2 linked regions of the Alligator mississippiensis genome follow. Each later gene encodes a partner of the first gene's protein in a complex. Links are inferred from orthologs where the notes say so. Each region holds a gene or a part of one and is shown in the gene's direction. Other genes may lie near its edges.

Region 1 (16,197 bases):
GGCTTGAGGCCGTTCCCCACAATGCTGCAGCTCCAATGTGCAGATGAAAGTTAGTAAAACAACAAACTCGAGACTTTTTCACCAATTTTCAAGCCATGCTTAAATTCACAGCTAGGGAAAGTATGAAGTTCACAGACCGCCCCCCCTCTCCGCCGGGCTGCAGCCCTCCGGGGGACACCATGGCCTTTGCTACTGGGGCGGCCGGCAGGTGCGTCGGGGGCTGGCGGGCATCGCAGCTAATGGAGGGAGGAGGCCAAGGGGCATGACCGTGCTGGGCGACTCATCACAGTCGCTGCCAGCAAAGGGTGCCCTGCTCCCCGCGGCCCCCACGCATCTACAGCCCGGGCTCCCCAGACCTGCCCAGGCAATGCAGCTGGGCAGGGTGCTTCTCCTGACGAGCCTCGTTAGGGCTGTCCAGGCCACAGCTCCAGATGAGAGAATAGTAGAGTCCAACCCAGGCAGGGGTCACCCCCGTGAGGGATGCCCTGGGTCTCAGCAACCAGGAACACAAATGCTCTTTCCTTGCTAATTTTAGCAGCATGCCAGGGCCAGAGAAAGCCATTTGCTCTCAATTTACATATGCAGCCTTGGCAAGGCCCCAGGCAAGGGGATCCTTGCTGCAGCAGAGGTGATGAACACCTCCCTGGCAGAGGGGCGGGTATGGGTGCTGGTCCTTAGCCCGCAGAGACTCCTGCCCGCCCAGCCAGTGCCCTTGCTCCCAGCCTCCCTGCGTCCCCCGGGCGCGGCAGGCCCAGCCGGCATGACTGCGCCCCAGAGCAGACACGCCACCCTGTGCCCGGAGCACCCGCCTGGTGCCAGACAGCATCGGGCACCCTGTCGAGGCTCTGGCATGGGTGCTCCTCTCTGCCTCCATCACAGCCTTCACGTCCAGGCCCGGGCCCTGCTGCCACCTCCCCGTGGCCCGTGGGGCAAACCCAGGACACGGGGTGGGGGGAGCTGGGGGGGGGGGGGGTGGCTGGTGGCACCGGTGGAGACACAGTGCCATCTAGCGGGCAGCAGCAGCAGGAGCCGGGCAGGCCCGACCACAGGCCCTCTGCTCCCCAGCCACGGGGCCCATCCTGCCACAGGCGCCGTGTCCTAGCAGGGACGTGCGCACAGCCAGGAGGGTTCAGGCCCGCAGCCTCCCAATCAGCCCATCAGCAGGGCCCAGTGCCAGCGGTGCACACCAGTGCCCGGGACTGCCCCGTGCGGGCGAAGACCGGCTGCTCCAGCCCACGAAACAGCCCAGCCCTCAGGGTCAGGGAAGCCCTAGTCCGGCGGCCTCCTCCCTGGATCTCAAGCACGGTTCCCCCCGGGATGCTTTGCCCAGTCTGGGCTGAAGGGCCTGGGCCGTGCACCTTGGGTGTGGGTTCTCACAGAGCTATCTGCACACACATGCATGTCCACGCGTGTACGAGGAGGGGGTGCACACACGTGTAGGGCTCACACTCAAGCTATGCCTCTAAAGTCCTTCAAGACAGTATCAGCTCTCTCCTTCTGCTGTGCCTTTGCATGTGGGCTGTTCCCACTGCAGAGCCCGGGGGGGGAAGGAGTGGCTGCGCCCCGAGTCGAGGCAGCGCTTACGTTATCAAACAGCTAATGCCGGACACTGGAATTAGCAGCTGTCGGCCGCAGACAGGAGCAGATCAGCACCTCTGCTGCCAGCGCCTCCTGGCCTCGCTCTGTGATTCTCATCTCTACGGGGACTGGCTGCAATTCTAATATTTTGCAAATAACGCTGGGTGTTAAGAAACAAACCCATTTCCTGCCTCAAGAACTGCAAACAGCGCCGTGATTGGAACAGACAAAGATCTTCCCTTATGCAAGGAACACAATTATCTCCATGCAAATCAGAGGGTTTTGTTGTGCATGTATCACAACAGGAGCTGCAGTGATTGAGGCTTCAAGAAGCAACATGACAATAAAGGCTGGGCCAGTCCAAGCTTTGGCCTCAGCTTAACGTGGGCTGACGGAGGGGGTGGTTAGTTGCTGCGTTTGGACCTCTGAGTCGAGCACAGCAAGGACACAGAGTGGGAGCGGGCCCTGCCCCGCAGCACTGGCAGTGCAGACAGACAAGTCAAGCTGAGACCTGGAGAAAGGCAGCTCCACAAGCACTGTTTTTAAGTGGGGAAACCGAGGCAAAGAGAGACGGAGGTCTCCCATGCCCAGAGAGGCTGGACCCCCACTGCAGCTGGAGCCTGCGGGTGCCAAGGGCTCCCAGCCCCTCTGTAACTGTCGCTTCCCACGCGGGCCCGGGACAGCCACTCTGGCTCATCTTCCCCGGGAGCTGTCCACGCTGGGCAGGAGCTGCTGTGATCACCCCCGCTCCGGAGAGTCCCCTCCAGCAAGAGCGTCGCTGCACAGTCCCTTTCCCACCTGTCCTGCCTGCAGGCCCTTAGCTGGGCTTGCTTTATGGCCTGCACTGTCTCGCGCCGCTCGGGCGCGGGGCTGCCGGCACAGCCCTGTGCTCTGCAGCAGCAGAGCTCCCTCTCTCACACGCTGTCTTCCCCTTTTCCTGGGTGAGGGCCTGGGACCCCGTGCGGGGTGAACTGGTCATGTCAGGGGGCCATTATGCTATTCCCCAGATGCATTCAAAGGCTGCCAGAGTCAGGTGGAGACGTCCCCAAAGGCCCTGATTAGAGGGTCTGGGAATGGAAGAGGCCGGGTGGGCACCGCTGCGACTCCCGCAGCCAGCCCTAGCATGCCAGTGCAAGATCCCACCCCAGGGGCTGCCCCTCCGTCCTGCCGGCCCCTGGGAAGCACTGCAGGGCTGGCTCGGCGCTCCTAGGAGCCCTCCTTGAGCTGTGCTGGGCACTGGGGTGCTCGTGGCCCGGGAGAGCCAGGAGCTGCTTCCACCTTTCTTTCCTTTGTTAAATTGCTGGGGGACACTCGTGCCACCACAGGGCCGGAGGTGAGGGCTCAGCAGCCGACAAGCCTGGGGGAGCAGCCGGGGAAGCAGGCTCTGTAAGCAGACCTGACCGGGCTGCGTTTCTGGGAAGGGGCAAGCAGGCTTCCCCGCAACTGCAGCCACAGCCTGCTACGTGCGCCCTCCCACAGCCCCGGGCCACGCTCCCCCAGGCAGCAGGGCACAGGGCTGGCCGCCACGGGCCCGTTCCCAGCCTCGTAACTCTGGAAAAGCCCACGGGCTCCCGCACCACTTCCCCTTTCACTGTTCCCGCTCGCGCTGCGTCATGGCCTGGCGGCCAGGGCAGGGCTGGGTCAGGGTCAGGCTCGGGGTCGGGTCCTACCTGCTCTCGCTGCCCCTCTGCAGGGCTGGCAGCCCCAGGCACTGCCGGCCCCTCTCACCCCGGCCCCTGAGCACGGGGCTCAGCCCTGTCCCGGCCCCCTCCATCCCTGGAGCACTCAGTGGCTTCTCCCAGGCCCACAGTGCCTCCATCCCAGGGCCTCCCCCATGCCCTGCTTCTCCCCCTGCCCCCTTCCCCCTGCGAGCCAGGTGCCCTGCATGGGGCCAGCCTTGGTCCCAGCACGTGCCATGCCCAGCAGGCGTGCGGGGAGCCAGCGAGTGGCTCAGACGGAGCTGCAGGGAAAGCAAGATGGCAGGGATGACCAGCTGCCCCGAGCCTGGCCCGGCCAGGCCCTGCGGCAGGTCAGCAGGAGCAGAGCAGCAGCCCTGGCAAACCCCTGGGCAGCAGGGCATGTGTGACCGCGCAGCCTGGGGCGGACGCTGGCGATGACTCGCTCGTGGCATCGCTGCAGCCCCGCACAGACACGGCTGAAGGCAGCCTCTGCCCCGGAGCCCAGGGCAGAGGTCGGCTAGCCCAGGGCTGTGGACAGGCCACCGGGAGCCGGGAGAGCCCGTCTGCTGGCACCCCGCTCCTGTGCGTGGGCTGGGTGCGGGCCAGCGGGGCAGGCCTGCCTCGGCCTAGGCTGCACGGCCCAGGCTGCGGCCATGGGGGAGCTACAAGCCAGAGGGATCGGGAGGGAGAGGCAGAGAGGAGCTGCCAGGGACTTGCCGGCAGTGCCAGCTGGGACCGGGGCAGAAGCAGGGGCTGCCGGGCCAGGGCTGCGGCTCTCGCTGGGCCTGGGAGGCTGTCAGGGCAAGCCATGAGATGCTCTGCTCCCCACACCTGCAAAGCACAGGTGCTACGAGCATCTGCCCTACCCCGGCACCCCACGCCCCAATCGCCCCAGCCAGGTGGGGTCGGGCACCTCCCAGGACACGCCAGCCCCGGGGATGCAGCGATGCTCTGGGGACCGGGCAGCGAGCGTTTCCCGGGGCGCCCGGCTGCTGCCGGGTGACGGGGCAGGAGGGCAGGCAGCACCGCTTGTTTACAGCCCGGCTGTGCTTGTTCCTTGAACGTTTCCGCCAGGCAGGTTCCCACGGAGACGCACGTTACAGGAACTCCAGCTCCCTGCTGTAAACATGCTGCAAGCGGGCAGACTTCCTTGGCAACGGGCTCTGGGTTGCCACACCCGGGGGGATGTCGCCACACCCGCCCCCCCGCCCCCCTTGGCCCAGCCTCTGCGCCAGGCTGCACGTGGCAGTTGCCCCGTGCGCAGCCTGGGAGGGGGAGGGAGACGATGCCCGACGGTGCCCATGCGCTGCCAGGGCTCGCGCAGGCAGGGTCCTAGCGAGACGTGCAGCGTGCCCGCCTGCCCCGCAGAGACTGGCCGGGTGCTCCCGCCTGCATGCAAACAGCAGAGCGTGGGGCGCAACCCTGTTCTGTTTGCACAGAGCCCCATGGCCAAGGCCAGCCCCACAGCTAGGACCTCCTTGTGCCCGTGCTGCAGCACCCCCTGCCCCCAAACCACCCCCATGTGCCAGCTGCTCGCCACAGCCTCCCCCTGCAGCCCGGGGCCCTCCGACCTGGGAGCGTGCTCCAAAATAGGAGGCAGCGAGAGGCAGGCAGGAGCAGGGCTGCTGCAGTGCCCGGCAGCCCAGCCCTCCGCTGCCTGGCCAGTCTAGCACCCAGGCCGAGCGATAATGTCCTGGGAATGGATACCCCTGGGTGGGGAGCTGCTGTTACCTGCGGCCCTGCAGCACTGTGGCACCTGGAGGGAAGCAGAGCAGAGACCAGGACCGAGGTCATGGATGTGGGGCAGGGTCACTGGACTCCCTCCTTTCGAGATCAGCAGTGGAGGCTCCAGGCCCTGACCTGGCTGGCTCGGGCCCAGGGATCCTCAGGCCAGGGCAATAAGCTGTGCTCCCAGCTGGAGATGGGTGAGAAAGCAGTGTCACTTGGCTGCCACTGTCCCCAGAGCGCTGCCTTCCTCGCCCAGCGGCCGTTGTGCCTGCCTTCCTCTTGGCACGCCCTCGGCCACCCACTCATCCCTCCAGGGACTGGACCCATGGGTGCGCCAGGGACCAAAGTGGTGCCAGTTCCCTGCACCAGCCCCCTGCACAGGGCACATCCTTCTGCCCAGATCCTGCATGCCCTCAGCTGCGCGTGCCAGAGCACAGCCTGGAAGGGGCTCTCTCTACCACCCGCCCCATTCCCAGTGCCCACAGGTGATAAAGGCACAGCTACTGCACCAGCCCTGGGCTCCAGGAGTGACCTGCAACTCACTGCAGGTAGTAGCCAGGGAGACCAGGCTGCTGCCCCTGCCCTTGCCCTTGCCCCAGCCTGGGCATAACCACTGCCAGTGCTAACATTGGCCTGGGTCAGAGCAGCGTGTGGCATTGCAGCAGATGCAGTTGCACATCAGCCTGTGGCCACTGAGCTGTTCCCTCGGGCTCCTGCCCCTGCACCTCTGCTGCTCTGATGAGATGGCAGCGTGCTCCCCCAGTCACACCAGGCCCATGGGAGCTCGCCCACCGGGGCCACGGGAAGGGGGCCAGCCCTCGCCAGGGCCTGAGACTGCTGCTTCTCCTAGGGAAGAACTCGGGGCTGAGCAAGGCCAAGCTCAGCCTGCGATGGGAGAGGCGAGAGGGTGGAAGGTGCCGCATGCAGACAGCTGCCAGGGCTCATTGTGGTCACTGCCGCCAGGATGTGGGTCAGATACCATGGGCCGACTGGTAGCTACGGGCCCCATGGGGAAACCCAGTGGGATCCTTCCTGATGGCAGTGCAGCAGAGCTCCACCAGCCTTGGCCCCGGGGCTGCGCCAGAGGTTCAGATGCTTCCCAGCCAGGTCCTGCCAGGTGCCTGCGCCAGGGCTGGGACCCTGGGAGACCCCAGGGGATGTAAAGTCACTCTGTTGAATCTGCGATGGCCAGTGCATGTCTGCTTACCCTGCTCCCATTAACTATGTGCCCGCACCCCGGCTGGGCCCGTTCCCGTGCTGGGGCTGCAGGCACTGAGCTGCGCACACCGGGCAAACAGAGCGGGCTCAGCGAGGCAGGCGGCTCCACCATGAGATGAGGGCTAGGGCTTTGCAGGACATGGCATGGGGCAGCCTGCAGGCCCCGGGGCAGGGGCAGGCCTGGGGCTGTCAGCGGGCCAGAGGGTCAGCTAAACTGTGAGTCACGTGCTGTGCAGCGGAGCGAGTAAACACGCGAGTAAACATGCCGTAAACAGAAGTTTGCACAATAGATGCTGCCATTGCGCAGGCCACTGGGCTCTGGGTTGGGCAAGCTGCTGTTGACACAACGGCTCCAAGGCCCATCCTGGTGCATCCCACGACTCGGGCCTGCAGGCAGGGCGGCCGGGGGGCTGGGCGCAGAGTGGCAGGCCCAGGCAGGCCACTGACCTCCCGTCAGGCAGGGTCAGCCCAGGATCCAGAGAGCACTCCCCACCTCCCTGAACTTGCCTCCTGGCTGGAAGTCTCCCTGGGCTGCTAGGGAGCCGTGGCAGGGTGAGGGTGTCGGGGCCTGGCCCCGTGGAGACGCCTCCTGCCACATCAGGGCTGAGGCTGGAAGCTGAGGCATGCCTGGGCGGCTGCTCCAGCAACAGCAAAACAACCCAGCGCCTGCGGCAGCCACGCTCCAGCTTGGTGCCACGAGCAGCCAGTGGGAACCAGAACCACAGCCACAGCCTGCCCCGACCCGGCCAGGGACAAGCTCAGACCAGGGCCTGAGAGCAGTCTGCACGCTGGCGCTGGCATTTGCACAGCCTTATGCAAAGTGCTGAGGCTCTGGCCCAGCTCTGCTTCTGCCGGTGTCTCCGTGGCTGTAAGCGAGAGATGGGGGCAGCCCCCACGCCCTGGGATTGCAGGGAAGCAGGGCCACCACAAGCAGCAAAGCCCCAGAAACAGCTCTGAACGCGTTTGCCTTGGGGCAGCAGCAACTGCGCAGCCGCTGGTGCCTCGGTCTTGCAGCCGCACGGGACTGTGACGCTTCAGTCCTGTGGGGCTCTGAGCAGGGGGAGCAGGCACGCTCATGGGCGTGGACCTGGAGCTGACCCCTGGCAAAGCCCCAGAGCAGGTGTGGAGGGTGTCTGTCCACCCTGGTGGGGTACAGCACTGTGTGGGCCTAGAAACCAGCTGGCAATGGAGTCCACAGAGCAGCTCTGTCCTCTCCAGGCCAAAATCTTGGCAGCTGGGCACTCCAAGGCACCTTCTATTGATGGAGACCCTGCCACTGTGCCCCCTACATGTGCATGGCCTTTGGCACGGAGCAAGTGGGGTGCATGGTACTGGGGGGAGCCTGATGCCCCCACATAGGGTAGGATTGAGCTGGCAGGGCCTCCCCATTCCCATGCACCTTCCCTTGGTGCACCCCACACAAGCACCGGGCGCTGGAGCAGCAGCTTAACCAACTTCTGGTGCAGGGCTACAAGGGCCACGTCCAACTGCAGCTAACAGGCACTGAGCCTGACCGTCCTGCCTGCTCCGGCCCCTGAACACCACAAAGGTCCTCGCTGCTGCTAGTGCTTTGGCCTCGCAGCTCAGGGGAACGCACGTGGCAAAAGGCGACAGGCTCTGGGGGACTTGAGCTGCGTGGAAGAGGAAACCTCTGAGACTGCCACAGCGATGGGCTACTTGGGTGCCTTGTAGAGGGAGCAGAGCACCCAGAAAACCTCAGTGTGCTCAGCCCCTCCCAGCGGTCCCGGCCCTGCCCGGGCTCTCAGAGCATGCCCCAGCCCCTCCACCTCCTGCCAGCGCTGGATCAGCCCCACAGGCTCCAGCAAGGTCACAGCAAACAAGCTCATTATTGCTCCATCCCCACTGGGCCAAGCTGAGCTGCTTAAAAGGCGGGTGGCCAGGGAGGATGAGGAGACCGGAGCCTGCTCCCCAGGGCTGGATGTGTGGGCTGCCTTTGCGCCTTCCTTCCTGCCAGCGCGTGGGGCACACGCAGCCTTCAGGGAAGTGTTTTGCAATCACCTTTTCTTCGGAGCTTCGGAGCAATTAACGACACTGGGTTTGAGGAACTAACGGCAAAAGCAACATGCTGGAGCCTGGACGGGACACTGATCTCCCGGGGGCCCGGGCCAGTCCTGAGGGCGAGCAGCACACTAGGGGCTGCATGCACCGGGCGCTGAGATGAGGTAAGGGATGGGCCAGGGCTGCCTGGACTCTGGCTGCCCCAGAGGCTGCCCCCGCTGCTGTTGGCACCGGCCGGCCTGGCACCGAGCCCTCTGGACATGGGCAAGGTGCTTGGGTGGAGCATCGCCTCCTGCGCAGGACAGGGCTGAGATCCCAGCAGCCATCAGCAGGGGAGTCAGCGCTGGAGCCATGGGGCAGGGCAGGGCAGGGGCCACGGGAGCAGGATGGCAGGGAAACGCAGAAGAGAGTCAAAGCTGGAGATTAGCGCTGGCTGGGTACCAGCACCATGCAGGAGTGGTCCCTCTCTGGGCACCAGGGCAGCATCAGCCTGGTGTGAACAGCTGGGACCTGTGATCCCCCCAGGAACATTGCCAGCAGCTCTGGTCCTTGCTCCCCCAGCTGCAGGGGTCAGTGGCTCCCTCGGAGGAGAACTGTGCGGTGGGCGAACACATCCCCAGCACCGAGAGGACGTGGCATTCCCGTCCCTCTTTCTGTGAACAGCAGGGGGTTCATGCAATGTCCGGCATGCTGCACCTGCATGGAGCATGGGGCAGCAAGAGCTGGCGGCAGCCCCTTCCCACCCCCCCGCCCCAGCAGAGCAGAGAGGTTTCCACGGCTTTAGCCAAGTGCCCCGAGCCCACGGGGAGTCTGCAGACCAGTGCCTCCTCGTACCAGACAGAACTTCCTGCTGCCACAGAGGGTCTGATGGACCTGCAGAAGTGTGTGTGTATGTGTACGTGTGTGTGCATGCACTATAGAGAGCCACGGACAACCATGGTGGATCTGATGACTGAGGAAGCCAGTATATTTTGTCTGATACTTATTAAGCGCCCAGCGTGTATCATGTGGGACTGTATCGCAAGGGTTTATCTGCACACACAAGCTTGCACACATACATACACACACCCCAGCTCTGGCCTGCAGAGTGACACTTGCATGTGTGTGTCCCAGGTGATGCCAAAGCCCCAGACAAGATCGTGGCCGAGCGCAGCGACAGGGGAATGATGCTGCCATCCTCCCTGCTCGTCCTGCTGCTCCTGGGTGGTGAGTCTGACAGCAATGCCAGGGTCCCGGGATGGGGAATCCCCCAAGCCCTGACTTTCCCTCCCTGCACTCCCAGGCAAGAGGCCCTGATGGCAGCCCAGCCCAGCCCAGCCCGTGTGGGGCGCCTCCCACCGGAGCAGTGCGCTGTGATGTGCCCGGGCAGAAGCTGGCGGTTCCTGCATTGGGGCGGCATGTCCCAGACCTGTGGCAGACGCCCTGTCTGCACTGAACAGATGCAGCCCTGCAGGGAAGCAGAGACCACGGCATGTCCTCCCCCCATGCCCATGCAGGGCCCTAGTCTGGGCTGCAGCTATTGCAGCAACCCCTGCACTTGCACTAACAAAGACCCGGATGGCAGAGCCTCCTTTTGCCCCTTCCCCTGCAGACAGCCCCATTTGGAGCGAAGCCAGAGCCACCCTGGGCTTCTACCCTGGCTGCTCCTGGAAAGCTCAGTGGGTTTGTGGCTGATGCAGACAAAGGAGCCTTGCATCTCAGGCTGGTGGCAGTTGTGTCCCAAGTCCCAGCGAGATGCAGGACTGCAGGGGGCTTACCAGCCCAGGGCCCCTCTCTGGAGAGCAGATGGACTAGGACAGGTTGGGGGCACCGTGCGTACTGGAAAGACTGAAGCCTGGAGCCGGGTGGCTGCTTCGGGCTATGCTGGGCCCTGGCCTGCAGTGCAGAGGGCCGGCCAGGAGCTGCCCCCGAGCAGGGACCAGACTCAGAGGCTCATTCTCTCCTCGCAGGAGCACGGGGCTGTGGCGAGGTGCGGGTGGAGCCCCACACGGTGCTCCTGGGATCCCCTGTCACGGCCTCCTGCCGTGTCCAGCAGGCCCTGTGCCATGGGTGGCATGCGAGCTCCTTGGGGACAAGCACAGCCCAGACCCTTGGCGGAGGCTTGGAGGAGGGGGGCATCCGGCTGATGTGGAAGCTGGACAACAAGACCCTGCCCGGGACCCAGTACTGGAGTGCAAATGGGACAGTCGAGTCCAACCTCACCATCGCCCGCGTCAGCTGGACCAGGGCTAAGCTGCGGTGCTACTTGGCGGGGATGGGGACAGGGACGAAGACAGAGACGCCCCAGCTCATCGCCACAGCCGACATCCAAGCGGGCCGTGAGTCTACCTGTGCCTGCCATCACACTGGCCCCCAACACCCCCTGCCCTTCCCCGTCTGTGCCCCAGGGCACCTTGCACATAGGGTTTAGCAGAGCCCCCAGTGGCGGGTGAGCAGGGACTGTCAGCACCCCCCCGCGGCGGGTTTGGGCAGATGTGCTCAGGATAGGATGGTGCCCAGGGAGGCCTGTCTGCTGTGGGGCAGGACCCTGACCTCTCGCTGCCCGGGCACTGGAAAGGGGAAGCCAGACCCAGCTCCCGTCACAGCCCAGCTGAGTCACAGCGCAGGGTCCTGCGGCGCCTTGGGCCCCTGGATGGGGCAGGGTGCACTCTGCAAAGGCGGCCACTGCCCCAACCTGGAGCAAGGGCAGAGGCAGTGGGTGGCACAGCAGGCTGGAGGGGGCAGAGCCGGGATGGGCCCAGCTGCCCTAGCAGAGCGCTGGTGCCCAGACCCACAGGTGCCCACGCTGCCCACAGCGCCGTCCTCCCGCTCTTCCCGCAGACCTACCCTCGAAGCCCCACAACCTGACGTGCATGATGAACCTCCGTGAGATGTCCCTGACATGTCGCTGGGATCCCGGAGCGGAGAGCCTCCTGCCGACCGAGACCATCCTGAAGAGCCGCAAGTGAGTGACTGCGGACGTGGGCCAGGGGCACGGGTGTCCTGGCCAGGCCACTGGGCCCAGGGGCAGGGAGGCAGCAGAGCAGGCCAGGGCTGGGGCAGGGCAACAGGAAGGAAGGATTTGGGTGTTTGCTGAATTTTGGTGTCGGCCCTGCCAGCCCAGGGGTTCCCGTTAGTTGCCCAGTCCAGCCCTGGCGCCTGCAGTGCCGCAGGCAGCGTGGGAGCTCCTAGGGGACAGGCACATCCCAGAGGGGGCTGGAGCTCCCACATGCACACGAGACCTTGCCGGGTGCAGCCCCCGATGCCAGCATCTGCATGGTGCCCGTGGCCAAGCCAGCCCTGCTGGACTCCCTGCAGAGCCCCCCTTGATTGCTCTGCCAGTGTGCGCCGCTCAGAGAGTGCTGCCCCAGCCATGCCAGGCTCCTGGGTGCATGGGCGCTGGGAAAAGGGAAGCGCAGGAGCCACGTGTTGCTAGTGGGGGCACCCAGAGCATCTGAGGAGCCACGGCCTCGCTGGCATGCGCTGACCTGTCTGTTGCCCGGCAGGACCTGCAGAGTGGTCACAAAGGCCATCCAGGAGTGCCGCCCATTGCTGCCAGGGGAGAACCACTGCACCCTGCCGCACCAGCACCTGCAGCTCTACCAGGACATGGAGTTCTGGGTGTGGGTGCGCAACCCCCTGGGCACGGCCGAGTCGGAGCACCTGTGCCTCGACCCCACCGATGTGGGTGAGCACAGCGCGGGGCAGGGGACAAGGGTCAGCGCAAGCCCTTCGGAAGCCAGACCCCTAAAATCCAGCACTTGGCCCAGGACCCAGCCCCAGGCCCCTGTGCCAAGGGACCCTCTGTCCACTGGCCCACAGTGCACGCGTGCAGCCGTCTGCAGGGCAAGGTGCAGAGCAGGTATCCCTGCCCCAGCCACTGGTCCTTGGCCTTGGGCCGTGCCCATGTTCACAGAGCAGGCACTGGTCCCAACAGCCTGGCCACCAGCAGTGCTGGCACCCTGGGGCCCAGGAAGCTCCTGTGCCATGTGCGCTCACGTGGGTGGGCCCAGCCACAGTGGTGGGGGAGAGGCTGTCCTTCGGCATGAGGGACAGCAGTGGTGCCAGCTTCTGCCGTCCTGCCCTCAGCCAAGCTGGACGCCCCCACCCTGATGAGCGTGCAGCCCTTCCAGCCCAACTGCGTGGCCGTGGCCTGGGACGTGGCCCGCAGCAGCGCCTACATCGAGCAGCAGTGCGAGCTGCGCTACCGGAGGGACAAAGAGCTTGCCTGGACACTGGTGAGGGCTCCGTGCGGGCTAGCGGGGCCGGCTGTGTTGCGGGGCAGGGGGGAAGGAGGATCCACGGCCCTCCTGCCTCTGGGGGCTGGTCTCAGGGTCGAGATTCCTGCTCTGTGTCCGCTGGGGCTGTAGAGCTGCTCTCTGCACTCCAGGGTCCCCATCGAGGAAGCAGGGAGCCCACGTATGGCTCGGATGGGCTGTTAGGGCAGGGCAGGGCAGGGCAGGGCAGCGCAGGGAGACCAGGGTGTCACAGCCAGTGCCCTCACTGGGGGCCTGCCGCACTAGTCTGTGCACGGGCTCTGCAGCCCAGTGCCACCCCCAGTCACTGCATCCCAGGTCCCTTTGTGGACAGGACACTGGGGACAGCTCGCTGGCACAGGGCGAGATCTCCATGTCTGCTGGACTTCCAGGGCTTGGTCCGCTGCGTCCGTGGCCCTGACCTCCCCTCTCTCCCAAGGGTGCGAAGCCCCCCAGCACCAGAGACTGCCCAGAATAGGGCCAGGGGGGTTGGCGTGCAAGGGAAGGGCACCCGTGGCCCTGCAGGGAGGTGACAGTGCCTTGGCTGTGATGGTGCCAGGTCTCCGGCATCATCAGCTCCAACCAGAAGGTGCAGCACTGCGGCCTGCTCTTCGGGATGCCGTACCGCCTGCAGATGCGCTGCCGGCGCAGGGCGTTCCCCAGCTACTGGAGTGAGTGGAGCACGGAGCAGGGCTTCACCACCCACGAGAAAGGTGAGTGCTGCCATGGCCCTAGGTGGGCAGAGAGGCCAGGGCCAGAGCCAGGCTGAGGGTGGGAGTGAGGCAGGGGTGCTGGGGCAGGGCAGGAGACCCAAGCCAAAAGCCCCCCTCCTCTCCTCTTCCCCCAGCCCCTGCAGGGAAACTGGACGCCTGGTGGCAGGTGACACCGTCAGGCTCCCGGCAGCGAGCCAAGGTGCAGCTGCTGTGGAAGGTAAGGTCAGGGTGGCCGTGGCCATGGGGCTGTGGTCCAAGGAGCCCTCACCCCACACCTCTGAATGCAGCCCCTGTCTGCCCCCAGGCCCTGGCATGGCAGGAGGCAAACGGCAGGATCCTGGGGTACTGGGTGGCGCTGAGCCCGCAGCAGAGGGGCGGGGTGCCGACCACTGTCTGCAACACAACAGAGATGGGGTGCAACTTCTCTGTGCCGCCTGGCGTGCGCAGCGTCTACCTGGCAGCCTACAATGCCGCCGGCAAGGGGCCCCCCACCGAGGTCATCTTCCTGGAGAGGAGAGGTAGGCACCGCCACGGCCTGGCAGCTCCCGCCTGCCCACGGGGGCAGAGCCCCCCACCCCCACTGCCCAGCCCAGAAGGCCGGTGGCCCCCAGCCTGGCCAGGCAGGTCTCTGTCTTCCCGGAGGCCCCCACAGCTGGGCAGGGCCCAGGAAGCCCCCCGGGCTGTAGCGCAGCAGACTGGATCGGGGAGGAGCCCCTGCCCGCGCTTTGGCCCGGAGGTGCCTTTTCAACGATTCAGCTGCAGGGCCAGGTCCACGCTGGTGCTGATGGGAGTGGTCCGGCACAGCGACACTGGCTCGTGCCAGCCGAAGTTATGGCTGGGCACCTTCCCCTGGGCTTCAGCCAGGCCAAGGATGTCCAGCCCTGGGCACCTGGCCCAGGAACCAGAGCAATGCCCCCGCCCAGGGAGCACCTGGGCTTCCCTGTGGGGGCTCCCAGCCTGCTCCCTTTGCCTTTTCTGAGTGCAGGGCACACAGGTCCGGGCCCCTCCTCCCCCCCCCCGAGCCCTGCACCCCACACCCCAGGCTGCAGCCGTGACACCCAGCCTGACCGTGCCCCGCGGTGCCGTTGGCAGGACAGCCCCTGCGTGGGCTCTGGGCCACCCCCCGCGACCAGCACAGCCTGTGGGTGCAGTGGGAGGCGCCCGCAGCCCCCACCAACGGCTACGTGCTCGAGTGGCGCAACGTGCCCCCCGCGGAGCCCGGTGGCCGTCTCGGCTGGCAGGTGGAGCACAACCACAGTGCAACCGGGGCCCTGATCCAAGGTGAGTGGCTGGGCGGGGCTGGCCCCGTCCACGGCTCCAAGCTCCAGCTCTGGGCCTGGGCTGCTGGGGGTCCTTCTTCTGCCCTCTGTTCTCCGCTCACCTGCCCCACGGCTCCTTCCCTCGGGGCTGTGGGGGCGCATGTGCTGCAGGGCTTGCTGTGGACTCACAGGGCTCCTGCCCTGATGTCCGCCCCTCGGCGCCGCGTCAGGTCCCAGGTGCACGCTGGGAGGTGGACACATGCTGAGCCAGGCCCGAGCAACCGTGGTGCTGGGCACGCCAGCCGTCACTGCTGGGGGCGGGTGGGGAAGAGGCCTGGGTAGCAATGCCCTGCCATGCGAACAGCCCCCACTGTCCCTTTCCCTTGTAGATGGCATCGAGCCCTTCCGACGGTACAACATCACTGTGTACCCTCTGTACGTGGATGCCGTGGGGGTGCCACGACACACAGCAACCTACTCCCAGCAGAAGGGTATGTATCCTGCCAGGGTTCCCGTCCCAAATGGCCCTGCCAGCTCGGGGTTCATACCGGGCACCATGGCCTGGATGCAGCCACCTCTGGGGTGGAGCCTGCAGCCTCCCATTCAGCAGGTGGAGTTAAATCCAGCTGAACAGCAGACCCCGCAGCCCGGGGGCCTGGCCCAGTAGTAGGGCAGGTGCTGAAGAGCAAAGGCGCTGGGGCCAGCTGGAGTTAAGGGTCCCCTTGCGCACTGCGAAGGGGCCTGGGCTCCAGCACCCTTCAGGCCTTCATGCTCCTCCTCGCCCTCTGGTCAGCACTTGCCTGGCATCTACATGGGGCAGCCTGGGGGAGCCTCTGACTGCAGCTGACCTTGACTGTGCCTGTCCCCCCACTCCAGCTCCCTCGTGCACCCCAAAACTGCACCTTAGGAGCATCAGCAAGTACCAGGCTGAGCTCAGCTGGCAACCAGTGCCCACGGAGCTGCAGAACGGCTTCATCACCAATTACACCATCTTCTGGGCCAGCACCTCTTCCAACATGTCCAGTAAGTCCTGCCCGCCCCAGCCCCGGCACTGCCGGCTTCCAGCCCCCACTCTGCAGCACTGGGCCACGCACCCACCTCCCCAGTCAGCCTATGTCTTTAGCCCTAGCCATTGTCTCCTGGCCGAGGCGCAGGGCAGCATGGCGTTCAGAAACTCAAGGGCAGAGGAAGACAGCAGGGTCTCCGCTGGGCTGTGGCTGGCGCAGGGTGGGATTGGTTCCAGCCAGCGCCAGGCTGCAGAGAGCTCTGTGCCCAGGCTGTGTCGGCTGCTAGGGGCTGATGCCCAGGCCAAGGGCGGCAGCAAACGAGTGAGGGAGCTGACCCTGCCCTGGCTTCCTCAGGTGCCGTCGTGGACTCTGATGTCCAGGCCTTCACCATCAGACCCCTGAAGCCTTCCACCACATATAAAGTGCACATCATGGCTTCCACCGTGGCAGGCAGCACCAACGGCACCATCCTCATGCTCACGACCACAGCACTGGGTGAGGCTGGGGCTCTGCCTGCTTGCAGCTGGGCGTGGGTCTGGAAGGCAGGGAGGAAGGAGGGGGAGGGGGGGGGTGACCTCCACACGAGTGTGCATGCACCTGCCTACACCCATGCACACACACATACATGCTCATAAATGTGTGCAGACTCATACTCTCACTCATGCACCCGTGCATGCACACACCCATGCTAGGGATGCCCGTCTTCAGGACAGCTCGGCCATTCAAGCCCGGCTCCCAGTGGTTTCAGAGGTGCTGGGCCC
Region 2 (15,975 bases), on another chromosome or scaffold:
TCACTGACCCATGTCCTTTGTGTTTCCAGGCCATGAGGTTCCCACCTAAATCATACAACAAGGACTTGGAGTCTGCAGAGGTGAGAGCTCATTGGGTTTCTTGGCTTCTGGCTCTGAGCAGTGCTGGTCCCACTAGTTTATGGATGCTTAAAGCTCCTCTTTTAGCCACTCTTCCTGGAAGTGCCACTTGACTGCAAACCAGAGCCATGCCTGCCTAGGGCTAAGTCAGCAGAGCAAAGCCTCCAACCTTGCCTGTGCGCACCCTGGGTATGCCCCATTTGGCCTTCCATTCCCTGGGGGGGCTTATTCCAAACCCATTTATGGGTGGCCCACCAGTCACCTTTGGGCACTGATATGCAAGCATTTGACAGTCTCTCTCTGAACCCCTGATTGCAGCCAGTGAGTCCTGCTTCTGTTTTCTAGGAGCGCCGGGAGCGCGAGCAGCAGGATCTAGAATTTGCAAAGGAAATGGCAGAGGACGATGATGACGGTTTCCCATGATGCTCTGAGTGGCAGTGCTTTTTTTTATTTGTCCATAGGGAACGTCCTGTCTGATAGAAACCATCATAGGGTGGCTCCAATCCAGAATCTGCCTTTCTTTTATAAATACCTGCATGTATGTATTGGGGGGGTGGGAGGGGACATGCCCGGGTTCTGCAGCACCCTCTGGCTACTTCAGAGGGAACTGCTCCCTTACCACCATCACCCACAAGTATTGCAATGAAGGGGGTCCCTCCTTATTCCCAGTAAAAACAAACTTATTTTAAGGTTGCTTATGGTTGGTGTCATTACTGCACTTGCTGCAGAAGGCACACAAGGGGTTAATGAATTCAACATGGCAAACTTGGTCACCAAACCTCTTGGCTGCCTCTGGATGCGTGTCCATGGGACCTGCCACCAGGTGGGTGGTGGTTCTAACAGCACAGGGCCCATGGCAGAGCCACAGCTCAGAATAACAATGGGATAAGACTTTGTTAAGCTTCAATTATGACTTTTAAAATAAAAGTTGGGAAAAAAAAATTCCCAGCAGCCTATGTGCATTTTGTGTTTCGTGGAGTGGTGGGGGGCTACTACTGTTTCACAGTGTGGGACTGAGGTAGTTCTAGGGCACTGGCATCCTAGGGCAGGATCAATATGATTTTAGACGAGGACAAACCTTCCTGAGAGCTGCTCTTGTGGTCCTTGCTCTCCTTTGTCATTGCTGTAATGGCTGAGGCAGCCCCATGCAGGGCTTCATGGGTAGAATTAGAGGAACCTTTTTTCCCGCAGACAAAAGAATATTCAAATCAACACCTTTGTCTGTTTCTTAAATACATTGGGTTAGACCAATGTATCCTTGTCTTTATTCACGAATTTGAAGGCTAGAGAGGCCTACACCAATCTTCTACCCTGACCTGCATAACACAGGCCAGGGAACCATGCCTGGAGTCCTGTGTCAGAGGATAGTGAAGGACCCTGATCCTTCCTGCAGGCTTTCTCTGCCACCAAGGGCACTGATGCTGCTTTCTTCATGGGTATATGAAATGCTAGCTGTATCTACAGGCCATTAGGCATGGGACCCAAATCTCTATGTGCAATAGACCCAAAACTGTCTCTGCACTGCTGAACAACTGGAGGGCTACAATGTGTGCCCTGAGAAGCTGCTCAGTAGCTGACTAGGTACCTTGAGGCTTCCTGTTAACTATAGACAGATCTGCTTGCATAGCCTGCCTCTGCTCACTTTATTTAGCATATCTGAGCTGAGTAGTGTGGGTCAACCCCACTCAGCTAGAAGGTCCTGCCTTACCTTGTTCAGCTCCATAAGTGCAAGGGGTATGTCCAGATCCAGGCTAGAGGAAGTACTATCCCAATACAACCAAGGGTTGTTTCCCAGCACTCCAGTGTCATTTCTGCATGCAACAGCAGATGGCACCATAAAGCTGGACCCAGGGAACCAGCATCATAATTTTAAATACCAGTACGCAGTGAGAGAAGAAATGAGTGTATTGTAGTCTGCCCTGGACCAGGACAAACACATATTTAATATCTAATCAGCAACTCAAAAGCCACAACACCCTTCAGCAAAGGCTGCCTACACTGTTTCTGTCCCATTGCAGATGATCACACTACCTTGCCATCTGTTGACAGCAATGGCGCAGGAAGGTAAGTAGGATCCATAAGTTTAGAAGAGACCCAGAAAGGCAGGGCACAGTGGTACCTTCAAGACTAACTGGGTCAGATGGGCATGTGCTTTCATAGGCAACAATCTACTCTGTCAGACGCAGGAGTTAGTTCCTTACTGCTGTTATGGTAGTGTCTACAATTGCAAAGTGGAATGGGACCCCAAGGCTCTTCCAGCTAAACCTTCACAGCTGCAGGAGTTACTCCTCCCAACCCATCCCAGAGAAAGGCAGATTTGGCCTCCTTTTGGAAGCCTCTGGTGAAGAGTCCGTGTTTTCCCTAGGCTGTTTGTTCCATTGTCCTGCTTCTCTTCATATTAGCAAGGCTTCTCTGAGATTTCTGCTGAGGTTTAAAGCCACAACTTCATGCCCTGCCCTCTGGAGCAAGGGAGGTCAATATGTCTCTGGTAGCCTTTCAAAGAACTGAAAACAGCTTCCATGTCCACTTATAGTTACCTTTTCTCTCAACTAAACAGACCTTCATCTAGGAGCCAAGCATGAACAAGGCAGTGCTGACCCAAAATGTAAGGAGTCCCTGCCTCTAAGCTACATAATCTACTACAATGATTCTCAGCCAGGGTGCTGCAGGTCTGCAAACTGTTAGGTGTGCAAACAAGTTGGCCTATATCCGACCTGCAGACCAATACCCCATGGTTGTCATCCACGTGGGAACAAATGACGCGGCCAGGGGCAACCCTGACTGCATTATGAAGGACTTGGAGGCTCTGGGGGCCAAGCTTAAGGAGATTGGGGCACAGGTGGTATTCTCCTCTTCTTCCGGTGAGTAGGTGGGGACGGCGACACGAGGCCTGCATTGGCAAGGTCAACCAGCACTTACAGAGGTGTCACCAGGCGGGCCTTGGGTTCCTAGATAATGACCCATGCTTTCGGGCAAGGGACTTGCTGGGGTGGGATGGGCTTCACCTCTCACCTAAAGGCAAGGCAATGCCTACACAGTCAGATGGATTGCAAATTGGCTGAAGGGTTGTACTCAGAGGGTGGTGGTAGATGGGTCATACTCGACCTGGGGGGAAGTGGGCAGCAGAGTCCCCCAGGCTCGGTCCTTGGGCCCGCACTGTTCAATTTCTTTATCAGCGATTTGGATGACGGGGTGAAAAGCAACCTGTTCAAATTTGCTGATACCAAAATTTGGGGTGAGGTGGGCACATTAGTAAGGAGGGAAAGACTGCAGAAAGACCTGGATAGGTTGCAGGGGTGGGCTAACAAAAACAGGATGCGTTTCAATACTGACAAGTGCAGGGTGCTGCACTTGGGCAGTAGTAACCAGCAGCACACTTATAAGATGGGAAACTCCCTTCTTGAGAGTGCAGAGGCAGAAAGGGATCTTGGAGTCATCACTGACTCCAAGATGAACATGGGCCGACAATGCGAGGTCACAGTCGGCAGGGCCAACCAGACCCTATCGTGCATCCACAAGTGCATCTCAAGTAGGGCCAAGAAGGTGATCCTCCCCCCTCTACGTGACACTGGTCAGGCCGCAGCTGGAGTACTGTGTCCAGTTCTGGGCACCCCACTTCAAGAGGGATGTGGACAACATTGAGAGGGTCCAGAGGAGGGCCACCTGCGTGATCCGGGGACAGCAGGGCAGACCCTACAATGAGAGGCTACAGGACCTGAACCTGTTCAGCCTTCACAAGAGAAGGCTGAGGGGGGACCTGGTGACCATCTATAAACTCACTAGGGGGGACCAGAAGGGTTTGGGGGAGACCTTGTTTCCCCTAGCGCCCCCCGGGATAACAAGGAATAACGGCCTCAAGTTGTTGGAGAGTAGGTTTAGATTAGACATCTGTAAGAACTACTTCACAGCTAGGGCAACTAGGATCTGGAACCAACTTCCAAGGGAAGTGGTGCTGGCTCCTACCCTGGGGGTCTTTAAGAGGCTCGATGCCTACCTGGCTGGAGTCATTTGAGCCCAGTTTTCCTCCTGCCCAGGCAGGGGGTCAGACTTGAAGATCTACAAGGTCCCTTCTGACCCTACTTCTATGATTCTATGAAGTCACAAGATAAAACCCAGAGATTTCCAGTAGGAACCCATAGTGTTAAATCCATTCTGCCCTGCTGTGGGCTTTCTGAGTTGCTTGCAACAGAAGAATTGTTCTATTACTTTTCTGTAGTCAAAAAACAAGTGAAAACTAAGAGCTGGTATTTTTGGGGTGGGAGGGGGTCTCCTGAGGTTGAGAACTACTAATCTAATAGAAGAGGGAGGGAGGCTAAGGGTAGGGAAAATGAGTGAAAGGAGCAACTGGGAACAGCTGCATGTGCTGTTCTCCCAGCACTTGATCCTAAAAATTGCACCTGCCAGCAGATCCAGGTACCAGTGATGCTGAGGACAGGTGACATCTGGGATCAGCATGAGGCCTCTGTAGGACTGTGACAACTGGAATGGCAACCTTGCATAGGCTCTGCTGTATGCAAGTCAGGGCCCTGTTCGCCTGATACAGACCACAGCCAAAGTCCCCTGCTCCTGCCTGCCTTTGTGCTGAGCTGCTGTCCATGGGAGTAATCAGCTCACCTACTTGCTGCATGGGTCACTCTTTGCTTTAATGTCCTTAGTGGGCCCAGCTCCTTGAGAGGCAGGAGCCTGGTCCCATCTCGGTCTCCTGTGGTGTGCGCTTACCAAATGGTGCCGCTAGAGGGAGCCACCTCACTAGTGAATGCCCCTCTGCATCATCATCTTCTGGCAAACTCCACTACACTGAGGCCAAGTTCTCGGTGCCAAGGCAAAATCCTCCTGTTGAGTGAAGGGACCAGGACATGGACGTACAGGGTGGAACAGTTCCAAGAAGACAGACCAAAAGTGAGATCCACTCCAGAAAATCCAACAGCCTGGTAAGCAGCCTGCACCCCTGCCACGTGGAAGACTGACTTGAATCTGAGTCTCCCACCTCGCAGGCGAGAGCCCTGATCCCCAGGGGCTGGTTAGCTTATGCATATGCATGCATGTACACACACACACACGTACATGGTTTTACTGTAAAGCAGAACAGGAAATCATTTCAATTCTTAAACCGTTCCAGAGGCTGGGAAAGCTATTTCCAACCTAACTCAGCTCCCCTCCACCTGCTCGTCCAGCCCTGAGCTCCCTTCACAGACACCTCAGCAGATGCCCCTTGGTGGCAGCCCATAGCTCCCCTGGCCCCACACACACACACACACACACACCTTTCCAAGGCTGCAACTCTTCACCAGATAAGGTTGGTGGCAAGTCATTCTCTGCCAAGCTGCCCCGAGCTGTACTGTGTTCTCAGGTGTGTTGGAGGCAGGCAGCAAACCGGAAAACCTGGGTGGTGAAATACCAGGGCAAGGTTAGGAAACAGTTATGCTGCTTCACTGAAATGGAACTTCCTATTTCAAACACACCAAAAAAGCCCCGCTTGCTCCTCGGGCTATGAAGAGATTGAAGAACAAAAGACAGGGAAGAATTACTCACCAGGTTGAAGTGTTGTGTACACAAAGACAATGGCAAGAACGTGAGGTCAGAATCTGTGTCCTCTGCCTGTCCTGGAATGGGGTGTGAGCCCCACACCTTCCCAGGCAGCCGTTCCAGGAAAGCCGCCACTTTGCTGGAGTTGTTACAGGAATCCAAGCAGCTGACTTAGCCTCTTCTGTGCACATGGAGACTCCAGTATGAAGCAGCACTGACAAACAATGACTCTATCATTCATAAAGCCCACTGCATTCAGACCAGAGCTGGAGTCCTGGGGATCGGGAGGGCGGTCAGTAAACCCACTAGATAATGTTTTGGGGAGCCTAAGGGAGATAGGTGTCAAACTCCCAGTGTGCTGCAAGCTCCTAACTCCAGCCCTGATCTGTGAAGGCTGGTCTGTGCATCCACTCTAGGTCTGAACTTCATATGAGAGTCTCTCACTACTGTGGTGAGCACAGAGGGGTCCCCCAGGGTAGCCAGTCTTGGGCTCTTGTCTCCTACTGCCCACCCACACACAACCCTGCAGAAACATGCACCAAGACTGTCATCCTCATTTTTATAGGGGAATTTGAGGCACGAGGAAAGGAAAGGTCATTCTTAGGGTCACAGGGCAGGTAAGTGGCAGAGCTGGGACTAGCACCCAAGTCTCCCAGTAATGGGAGGTCGGGGGGGCAACCAGGGGCACCAGCCCATGTGCTGCCCAGAGTGTAGAACTGCCTAATAATGCCTCTGCATTCTTCTGACACCCTATCTGGTCCCATACACTGGAAACAGGACCTGGGTTAGCCTAAGGGCCCCAAAATATCTCCAGATACTCCAGTATCCTCATAGAATCATAGACTCAGAGAAAATTGGAGTTGGAAGGGATGTCAGGTGGACATCTAGTCCAAGCCCCTGCTCAAAGCAGGACCATCCCCAACCAGATCATCCCAGCCAAGACTGTTTAGCCAGGTCTTAAAAACGTCTAAGGATGGAGATTTGACAACCTCTCTGGGTAACCTGTTCTTTACTTCCTAGTGAGAAAGTTTGGGGTTTTTAAAAATATCTAACCTAAACTTCCCTTGCTGCAACTTGAGACTGTTGCTCCTTGTTCTGTCATCTGCCACCACTGAGAACAGTCTCACTCCATCCTCTTTGGCACCACCCTTTCAGTAGCTGAAGGCTGCTACGAAACCCCCACCCCACCCTTCTCTAGAATAAATGAGCCCAATTCCCTCAGCTTCTCATAAGTCATGTGCCCCAGCCCCCTAACATTTTCACTGCCCTCTACTGGACTCTCTCCATTTTGTCCACATCCTTTCTGTCATTGGGGGCCCAAAACTGGACACACTACTCCAGATGTAGCCTCACCAGTGCCAAATAGAGGGGAATAATCACTTCCTTCAATATGATGGCAAGGCTCCTACTAATGCAGCCCAGTATACCATTAGCCTTCTTTACAAAAAAGGCACAGTATCGACTCATATGCAGCTTATTGTCTACTGTAACTCCCAGGTCCTATTCTGCAGAGCTGCTGTTTAGCCAGCTGGTCCCCAAACTGTACTGGTGCATGGGATTGCTTTGTCCTAAGTGCAGGACTTTGCACTTGACCTTACTGAACTGCATAGGAAGCTGCTCCTTTCTGTGCAAAGGCTGGAGGATCCGGAAAAAGTCTTCCCAGTAAAGTTTCAGTGAGCTGCAAATAGGGAAAAAACAAGCAGCAAGAATCAGGTGCCTGATTAGGTGCAATATGGGCCACAGCCACCAGGAGGACAAGGTCTCCCCCTCTACCCTATTGTATTTTGCACTGGTAGAACAAGTCTTCCCTGGCAGGGAAGTGTCCTGGGCAGTTGGGCTGGTGGTTAAATGCACGGAGCGGACCAAGAGGTGCCTGACATGCCCCAAGCAAAGTCTAACCAAAGAAAAATGCTCTGGCTGAGGGCAGAGGCAAAAGCAATACAGGCAGGGGAGTGATGGAGAAGCTAGAGGGATTCACAGGCTGGGGTTTTGCAGCAGCACAGGCCTTGCGACACCTCAGGGCTCAGAGACTTCTGAAGCTCCTCCACAACCCCACTGCCCCCAACCCACAGAGACAAGGCCAAGAAACAGAGAGAAGGCACAGGGCATGGAATTGCTCCAAACTCACCTCTACCACCCAGACCTACAGACAGGATGGCTGCCAAGCATTGCTCTGGGCTGCACAGCAGGTCCCCAGAGCAGGCCGAGGTTGATCTCTCAGGCAGGGACTGGGGGTCTACAATACATACTGTAGGCATGTAAGCAACTAGCCCAACATCCCCCCCAACCAAGGAATTTCATTTTAGTGGATCATTTTAAAGCAAATTAGCTCTCCCAGCAGGCGAATACTATACCCCAGGGGCATCTTCAGGGCTGAAGGTTTGTTACCATTGTACATGGAGACATCCAGACACTCCAGTGATGGGTGCTGCTGCATCCTGGGCTACCTGAGCAACAAATCATCTTCATCCCCCATTGTGGCCCTGCTGTTATCCTCACTGTACAGATGGCACTGACAGGCCAAGCGATTTGCCCAGGGTCACACAGGAAGCTGGGGGCAAAGAAAAGAAGGGGATACTGGGCTTCCAGTCTAGTGCCCTAAGCACCACATCCTGCTTCCTCTCCCTCCCAGAGAGGCTTGGACAGACCCAGCCAAGTGCTGAGACAACTGGATGCAGATGCATTGCCAAAGCGTGATCTCCACTACATGCAGTGCCTGGTATGCCATGCAGTTCCACTTGCAATTGGGCAGTGCCTGGAGCTAATTGAAAGAGCTGAGCCTTGTCCCAATGGGGAAATCTGAGAGAGAAGCCAGGATTTCTTAAACCAGGCTCATCTCCACCCAGAGGGCTCAGTCCTGTCCTCCATTACACCAAGGGAAATCAGGAGAAGCAAGGAAGAGGATTCAAGATGACCTTGGCCTGCAGGTTCCCATGCAACCTCAGCCCAGGACACAAATGTCTACTGTCTTCTGGGTTAAGATCACAAGATTTCTGCTCAGCTGCAGGACCCCACATGCAAGGGGGAGTCACAGAAAGACTAGCTCTCTCCCAGAAGGCATAGGCCCCAGGACAAAAGTAAACCTCAGCTGGAGCCATGAGGAACCTCCCCTATCCATGAGACCTCTAGACACAGAATGATCCATCTGGGAGACAGATGCCCCATCACCAGGGACAACTCAGCTGAGACTCAGACTCCAAAAATGTACTGCCAGGATCAGAACATGAAGTAAAACCAAGGTCCTGCCTCCTCTTACCCTGATGGGAGTGCCCTGTGTGCCCATGTTGGGTGGTACCAAAGGGCATCTATACATGAGCATGGAGGCTGCTCCAACACACTGGAATTCCAGCGCGGCACAGCAGACTTGATTAATTAAGGCCACTGGAGTATAGCAATTGCCAAGCTCCAGCTGCCTTCTAGGTCTCCTGTATCAGCGTCCCCATTGAATGAGCTTTAGGTCAAGTGCCCACACTGCCATTTTGAAGTGCTGGGACACTGATATAGGAAACACAGCGGTACTTTAATTAGAGTAGTTTTTGGAGCTGTTCTGATTAAAGCACCCCCACCCCTGGAGCACAACTAATAGTGCCCAAAAGGTCCATGGCTCTGGTTTGCTGGCAGCATGGTTCCAGCAAGGGTGCCAGCATGATTAGACGCAGGACAAGATTGGGCCCACACAAGAATGAGTGGGTCAGCAGGGACAGATTCGGGGGTATTGTTTCCAACACTCACACTTGGGGGCAAAGGACCCTGGCTCAAAGGTCTCTCTTATCCCATTGCCTTGTTAGCCATCCCTACCATCTGTTCCCTCATCACAGATGCAGGAAGTCTTCCTTCCAGAGAAGCTAAAACCCTGCTGTGACACCAAGAGAAGGACTGTGCTTACCCAGCACACAGGTCACACTTGACCTAAACTCCGCTTCTCCTTTGCCTTGGGATCATGCCTGTCCTGTGTCCCCTGCACCATCCATGCCCTTCCTGGGTACGTGGGCAGTTCCTTCCCCAGAAAGCACATGTGGGTTTACTCGCTCTGTTTGCATCACTGATTCATTTTTTTCTTCTTAAAATCCCCAAATAGTGAAAGCGGTCAGTGCTGCGACCTGACTCTGCGTCACCACTGGCCTTCCCCTAACCAGCCCACATGATCTTTCATTTTAGTGTCAAGGAAACTTGCGCAGCTGCTTCAGGGCGCACCTTCAAAAGCTTCGAAGTCCAATGGCCAGAGGAAGGATTTCACAACATCCTTCTTTTCCTTTTCAAAGCTCTGTTAGGTCTCATGGCTCAAAGCCGCACTGTGGAGAGAGGGAGTCCAGCCACCTGGGGCCTGAGGGAAGCTTAGAGATTCACAGGAGGTGAAATCCCCCATGCCAAAGCTCTGCAAATCATCACCCTCTTGAGCCTGACGCAGTGTGGTGCTGCCCCGCTGGTCCTCAGCAGAGAGATGAACACTCCTGAGCTGGTCTGGAGATCTGATGCTAATCAGATCACTGCAGAAAAACAAAGCAAGTTGTCCCTAACGAACACCTGCATTCTGTTGAACATCACTGGTGCCACCACTTCCCAAGAATGGACATCAAAAAGAGGGAGTAGAGCAGAGAATGGGGGTCCTGGCTTCCAACACAGCTTCCCCCCAGCCCACTAGGCTATAATTTGGCAGACAGAATCTCCAACAGAATTAGCACAAGAGGGTCTCAGACCTTCCTTTCCTGTGTCCTTGTGACAAAATTTGCATGTTCATTTCATTGAAATCTGACAGGCAGCACCATGAGCACTGCTGCTATGGCCTTGAACTTGCATCCTCTAGGCTGCCTTAGCACCTGCATCACCCCAGCCATGCTAGTCTGAAGATCATAAGAAAGTAGGGCTGGAAGGGGCCTCATGAGATCATCTAGTCTACCCCCTAATCCAGTCATCTAGTCCAGGCTGCTGGCAGTGGTAGCAGTGGCCAGGCCAGCAGCATGGAGGCTATTTTTATGCTCCCTTCCCCCAGAATTGTGCTGCTGTCTCAGACCTTGCCTCCCTTTCCACACTCATTTGTCCCTACCAGGGCTAGAAAGAAAGGGCCAGGTCAACAGCTGGTGTAAATCAGCCTGCACCCAATGCTCTGGGCCGCTATATATTTTATACGTAAGTGTGGAGCACAAGCATGGGAACTGGAGGGTGCTTTCCTTGGCATACTGAGGTTCAGGGAACCCATATTCTTAGCCCATATAGCCCGGAAAGGTCAAGTGAGTTGATCAAGACTGCATAGGGGAGTCAGTGCTGGAGCGGGATTAAAAGTTACGGGGCTTCTGGCTCCCTAGTGTATTCCCTGTCCTGCCGCACAGCAAGGGGTGCATGCCAGAACAGCAGCAATATAATCCCAGTTTCAATCCTCATGCTACGATGCTGTCAGATGAGTTTTACTTCCTATGCATTGATGTAGGTTACTTACTCAGCATCCCATTTCCTTGTTCCTCGGAAGATTGTGCCCTGAACTTGTGGTTAAAGAAACTGTGCCAAGACATTTTAAGTGAACCCAACTGACTCAGCTGTCACTGCCAGTTGGCTGTGCTTGCACCCCTGCTCTGTAAATCCCAGAGGCTAAAGATTTGGTCCCTTCCCCCTCTGGGAGTCACTCAGCTGGTACAGGAAAAGCAGCCAGTCCTGGAAATGCAGGTAGAGATTTCCCCATTAGCATGCCAAAATCATTACCCTGAGGCTGTAGGAAAAACTGACATCAGATCCACATCCATCAGTTTGGGAAATAATTGCACTGCTGTCTGTTGGTGCAAGGGCAATCTCTTGGAGGTCAAGTCTGGATCATGCCCATCAGGTTCTTGCGTGATATGAGTAACATCGCTGAAGAGCACTTCAGTATCTGTCTTTCCCCATGGGAGACCGATCCCCATCTAAGCAGCAGCAGAACAAGAGGGTGATTGGGGTTCAAGGCCCTGGCATGCAACGTCAGACACTGTGGTTCAGTTCCCTGTGGCACCCATATGACAGCACTCCAAGCTGAGAGTAGGGCTGCAGTGTGCCAGGTGTAGCAGGTCCACACAGGGTGAAATTGAGTGTGAGATCAGTAGCAAGACTCACGTTGATGTCTAAGGGGCCAGAGAGTCACTTGCACCAACAGACAGCCTCTGCCCCAGAAATCACTGTCTATGCAAACAAGGGTGGGAGGTGAAACAGGGCTGCCACACACTTAGCCTGTGATTCCAGGCAATTATTCCAGTATTTGGAAGACCAAAATGAGATGTTTTAAAGGGACCTGATTTTCCAGAAGCCAGGTGCATAGTACTGTGGGAAAATCACAGCCCCCATAATAAGGGACTTCAAATAGGCCATGTGAAATAATTTATCCCTTAGAGAGTCCCATGCCTCAGTTTCTCTGTCTGTGGATAACAAACCTACTTCATAGGGATGTGCTCATAGTGAGTAAGATCCACAGCCTGCATGCCACAGTGAAGGCCTCCAAATCTGTGGCAGAGAGATATACCAGGAAACAATGGCAGGTAACTAAAGGTAATTGTAGGTGCAGCATATGACGCAGGAAAGAATGTCATTGGTTCTGCTCGAGTTTAAAGCAATAAGGAAAGTGCAACATAAAGGTTATTTCACCTCCTCCTTCATGATCTGCTGATAGCACTAAACTAACAAATCCCTAATTCTTAAGATGCTTGAGAAGAAAGACACTATTCAAGCCCAGTAATAAAAAAGAATCTAAAAAACAGGAATTAAATCAGCAAGTAAGTAAACACACATACTGAAGGCCAGGTGGAACACTTAGAAGGCACCTGCATCCCATTGAGTCCCATTTATTTGGTTGGGTGCCATTTTATTGCTAGGTCAGAACTCTTAAGTTGAAATTGGGAAGTGGATTTTGTAAGCAAACCACACCCTGATCAGTTCTGAGACATCATTTCATCTCCCAAATTAATCTTTGATGGGAATGAAGGAAGTGGCTGATATTTTGGGGAGCAGCTTTTTTAGGGTGGCCTGAAAGGGCAATAACAATCGATTAATTACACAAAAGGAGGGAGCAACTCTCAGACACTACAAGAAAAGAAGAAAAAAGAAAAAAAAGAAAAAAAAAAAACAAAACAGTCCAGGGCTGTCCCAGAGGAATTACAAAATAACAAAATTTTTGCTAAAGAAAAATCTAAATGAAAAACAAATGATCCCCACAAATTAAAATTCCTAATATGTTATTTTCAGAAAAATGTATTTGCATATTCACTGATTAGTAATAATTGCCTCATCTTATTACATCAGCGTGAATTCCCTGAGTCTCCTATAAATATCATAATCAATTGGAGTCTCACAGCATTCACGAACAAAAAGGACTGGTGCAGCCCTGCGTCTGTCTTACACCCTTTCCCAGCGCACCGTCATAAAACAAGTGGGAGGAGATACCAAAAGGCTTTCAGGCACTAGAATGAATCCTCTGAGAAGTAAGTATAAGCTCTTCACCCGACAGCAACAGAAATCATAGGCACCATTTCCTAGTTGCAAACTGCTTGGATTTACTATATGCAAGGGGTCTGGTAAGTTTATTTTTGGGACTAGCAACTCCTGGGTTGACTTCTGGGGGAGGCTTGGATAGTTTTTACGATTTAAAAAACATTTTTTCTCCCCCCTCCTCCCTTCCTTTTCTATTTACAATCAGGAAAATTATGCCAGTAAGGATAAAAAAAGTCTAAGAGATGTACAGTTTATGCAGGCAGGAAGTACCTTCTGAATATACATAGCAAGGGGTGTTTCACTCTCAAAAAACTTTTAGAGTTCTGAGCATCAGAAAATAGAGGGGATTTAAACCAACTGGCTGATGTGATTTTAACTAAAAGAGCTTTGATATGTAACTGCATTTTGTTAAACTAAGATCCTTGAGTAGGAATGTGTTAGAAATATTACATGGGAACACCTCCCCTTGAAGGTTCTTCAGGGTGGGGACTGTCTCTTACTGTGTAGATGTACAGCACCTGGTACATTGGGTCCAATCTCTTTCGGGGCTGCCTGTTGTTACTGTCATACTGACATGATCTCATCTGAATGAACAGTGAGATCACTTTTCTATCTCTGTATTCTGCACCTCTGGATTCTTCAGCACTTACCCAACTCACGTTGCTTCTCTCTCTCCTCTCCTCATCTCCAGCTATTCCATCCTTGCTGTTGAGCACCCTGCTGTGCTTGAAATACATCATGCTGCATGCAGCTCCCCTGTCGGAGTTCTCAGGGGACCAGGGATTCCAGCTGTTTCTGCAGAAGAACTTGGAATTCACTCGCAAGATCAAAATGGATGTTGAGACCGTGCGGCAGCACATGGTGAGTAGTTAGACAACCTGGGAAGAGAAGTGCTAAGAGCAGTCAGGGGCTGCTGGTGTAGAGGTGATAAAATGTAACCAGAGATTGGTCTCCAGAATTGAAGGAAGAGAAGTGGTGGGAGCAGAGAGATGCAGGGACTTGCTGGTATCTAATGAGGAGATAGACATGCACCCACTGCTAGCAACTGGGATTTATGTGACAAGTTTCTGGGGGCTGCTGTGACCTCGACAGGTAGTTGCTTCCCTTAGAGCAGCAGCCTGGAGAGCACTTGGCTATGAGAAGTGCAGAAACTCAAAGTTCACTGTCTTGTCTCCAGCTCCAAAAGTGGAGTTCCCTCCCTCTGACATTCCAGCTCCCAAAAGCTTCACCTCAGCAGACAATCTCAGCCCCAGGCTTAGGGACAGATTGACAGACAGAATCCTACATAGGACGGGCTTTCCCTATAGCTATGTCCCAACTCTTGATAAGTCTAGAGAGAGGGTGTGTTGGGGGAACTGAAATTAGCAGCAGGCACAAACTGTGCTGGGAGATAACTCAGCAGAGAGCTGGCCTGATCATCCCCCAGGGACAAAGTCTGACCAGCTCCCCCTCCCACTAGCTGGCAGAGTCACTAACAAGGGACCTTCTGATCCAGGAATCAACCAACCTTCAGCCACTTTCCAGTGCCTTGCTAAAATAGACAGCAGGTACCTTCTCCTCCCCCAAACCAAGCATTAGAGATAAAAGAGTCCCTTCCCCTCCAGGAGGTGACCCAGGCTAATGCTTATCCCAAACAAGCATCTGCTCAGAGGGCTTGGAGGTCCTCCCAGCTGCTTAGGAGGAAAAGCTGTCTGCTCAGCTACTGCCAACTGCAACCATCCAACTTTCCTTTGTTCTCCTCCCTGCTTCCTACAGCCCCACAGCTGCCTGCTGCACTTAGCATAGCAGGATCTTCAGCAGAGGGAATTATTAATCTCTCTTCCCCATGACTTTTGGCGTGGTCCTCTAACAGCTTTGGCACATCCCCAGCCTCCTACAAGCAGTCCCATCCAGAACTACTCTGGGAATCATGTGGTTTCAAGATCAGACTTCTCAGATCTTATTCAAAACAACAGCTGCCGATTCCAAATTCAACTGGACTTGACCAGTGATATGCACTGGCAAGGCCTCTGTCCCACTGAATCTGAAGGGGTGTGTTTCCTGTAGATTATAGCATGTGCCTCACAGCAGTTCAAACTCTGGGGCAGGTATTCTTAGCTGAGTTGTTAGTGAATTTAATTGCTTTGGTCCAGTTTCCAAGGTCTTGCAGGACACTACTGGCTAATCTATGCTGCTGTGTTCCTCTCTCCTTTCCTGGCATTCTCAGGGCTGTGCCAAAGGAAAGGCCAACACCGAAGTCAGAACAGAGACTGCTCGGAAAATGCTGTAGGGAAAGCTCTGGAGGGAGCGAAGGGTTTTGTTTGAGACTGCAGGCTATTTAGATTGCAAGTCTCCCATGTACACACAGCTATGAACTTTTTGTTTATGGAGGGGGTTGCCACTGGAATGAGGCAGCAAGTGAGTGACAACTGCACATAGCTCAGAAAGGGTCAACCAGGAAGCAGCTTGAAAACCCTGAAGAATGTCAGGCTTTCCCTGGGTAAGAGATCCCCAACCCCCACTTCTGCAAACACTACTCACTACATGGCCCACTGACTTCAATAAATCAAATTACTCACCTGAGTGTCTGCAGGATTGGGGCTGTAATCAAGAACCCACATAGGCCAGCTATACAGTATAAAGTGAGTCAGCTTGGCTGCAATTCCACCCAGGGAATATTACAATGCTAGATAAAAGGCATTAAATTCTATTATTCATTGCATGAAGCTGTTGCCAATCTTCCATTTATGCAACAGGAGTTGCAATGCATCTGTGTGACATGGTTATATCACTTGAGGGCCAGAGCAATAGTACTGAAGTCTCTGATGAAATGTGATGAGCCGTTATGATTATGACCTGTCCAAATGTCTGCCTTTGGGCTCTAAGAGGTCTTTCCCTATTACCTGGCTAAACATACACAGGTTTAGTGCATCTTTAGATTTCTGT

Evidence for each region.
Region 2: the proteins of CSF3R (region 1) and CSF3 are in contact, whole or in part, in a crystal structure (PDB 2D9Q), measured with the Homo sapiens proteins. The link is inferred for Alligator mississippiensis from reciprocal best matches to the Homo sapiens genes CSF3R and CSF3. Residues at the interface, in NP_000751.1 of Homo sapiens: Arg164, Arg190, Lys191, Leu193, Leu194, Leu195, Tyr196, Gln197, Asp220, Met222, His261, Ile262, Asn263, Arg311, Pro313, Leu314; in NP_000750.1 of Homo sapiens: Ser42, Leu45, Lys46, Glu49, Gln50, Arg52, Lys53, Leu141, Asp142, Asp145, Thr148, Thr149, Gln152.

Annotation. Positions count from the first base shown.
Region 1 is NC_081829.1:272,507-288,703, reverse strand, and holds the start of CSF3R (granulocyte colony-stimulating factor receptor), read left to right. Parts: upstream 1-8,059; 5' UTR 8,060-8,386; intron 8,387-9,335; 5' UTR 9,336-9,385; coding exon 9,386-9,428; intron 9,429-10,171; coding exon 10,172-10,540; intron 10,541-11,042; coding exon 11,043-11,166; intron 11,167-11,707; coding exon 11,708-11,889; intron 11,890-12,290; coding exon 12,291-12,439; intron 12,440-13,016; coding exon 13,017-13,170; intron 13,171-13,304; coding exon 13,305-13,387; intron 13,388-13,474; coding exon 13,475-13,688; intron 13,689-14,262; coding exon 14,263-14,451; intron 14,452-14,818; coding exon 14,819-14,920; intron 14,921-15,305; coding exon 15,306-15,452; intron 15,453-15,790; coding exon 15,791-15,931; intron 15,932-16,197. UniProt on the Homo sapiens protein: Receptor for granulocyte colony-stimulating factor (CSF3), essential for granulocytic maturation. Plays a crucial role in the proliferation, differentiation and survival of cells along the neutrophilic lineage.
Region 2 is NC_081827.1:164,820,546-164,836,520, reverse strand, and holds the start of CSF3 (granulocyte colony-stimulating factor), read left to right. Parts: upstream 1-8,153; 5' UTR 8,154-13,638; coding exon 13,639-13,911; intron 13,912-15,975. Other genes in the region: PSMD3 (26S proteasome non-ATPase regulatory subunit 3), read left to right, coding at 30-80, 424-501. UniProt on the Homo sapiens protein: Granulocyte/macrophage colony-stimulating factors are cytokines that act in hematopoiesis by controlling the production, differentiation, and function of 2 related white cell populations of the blood, the granulocytes and the monocytes-macrophages.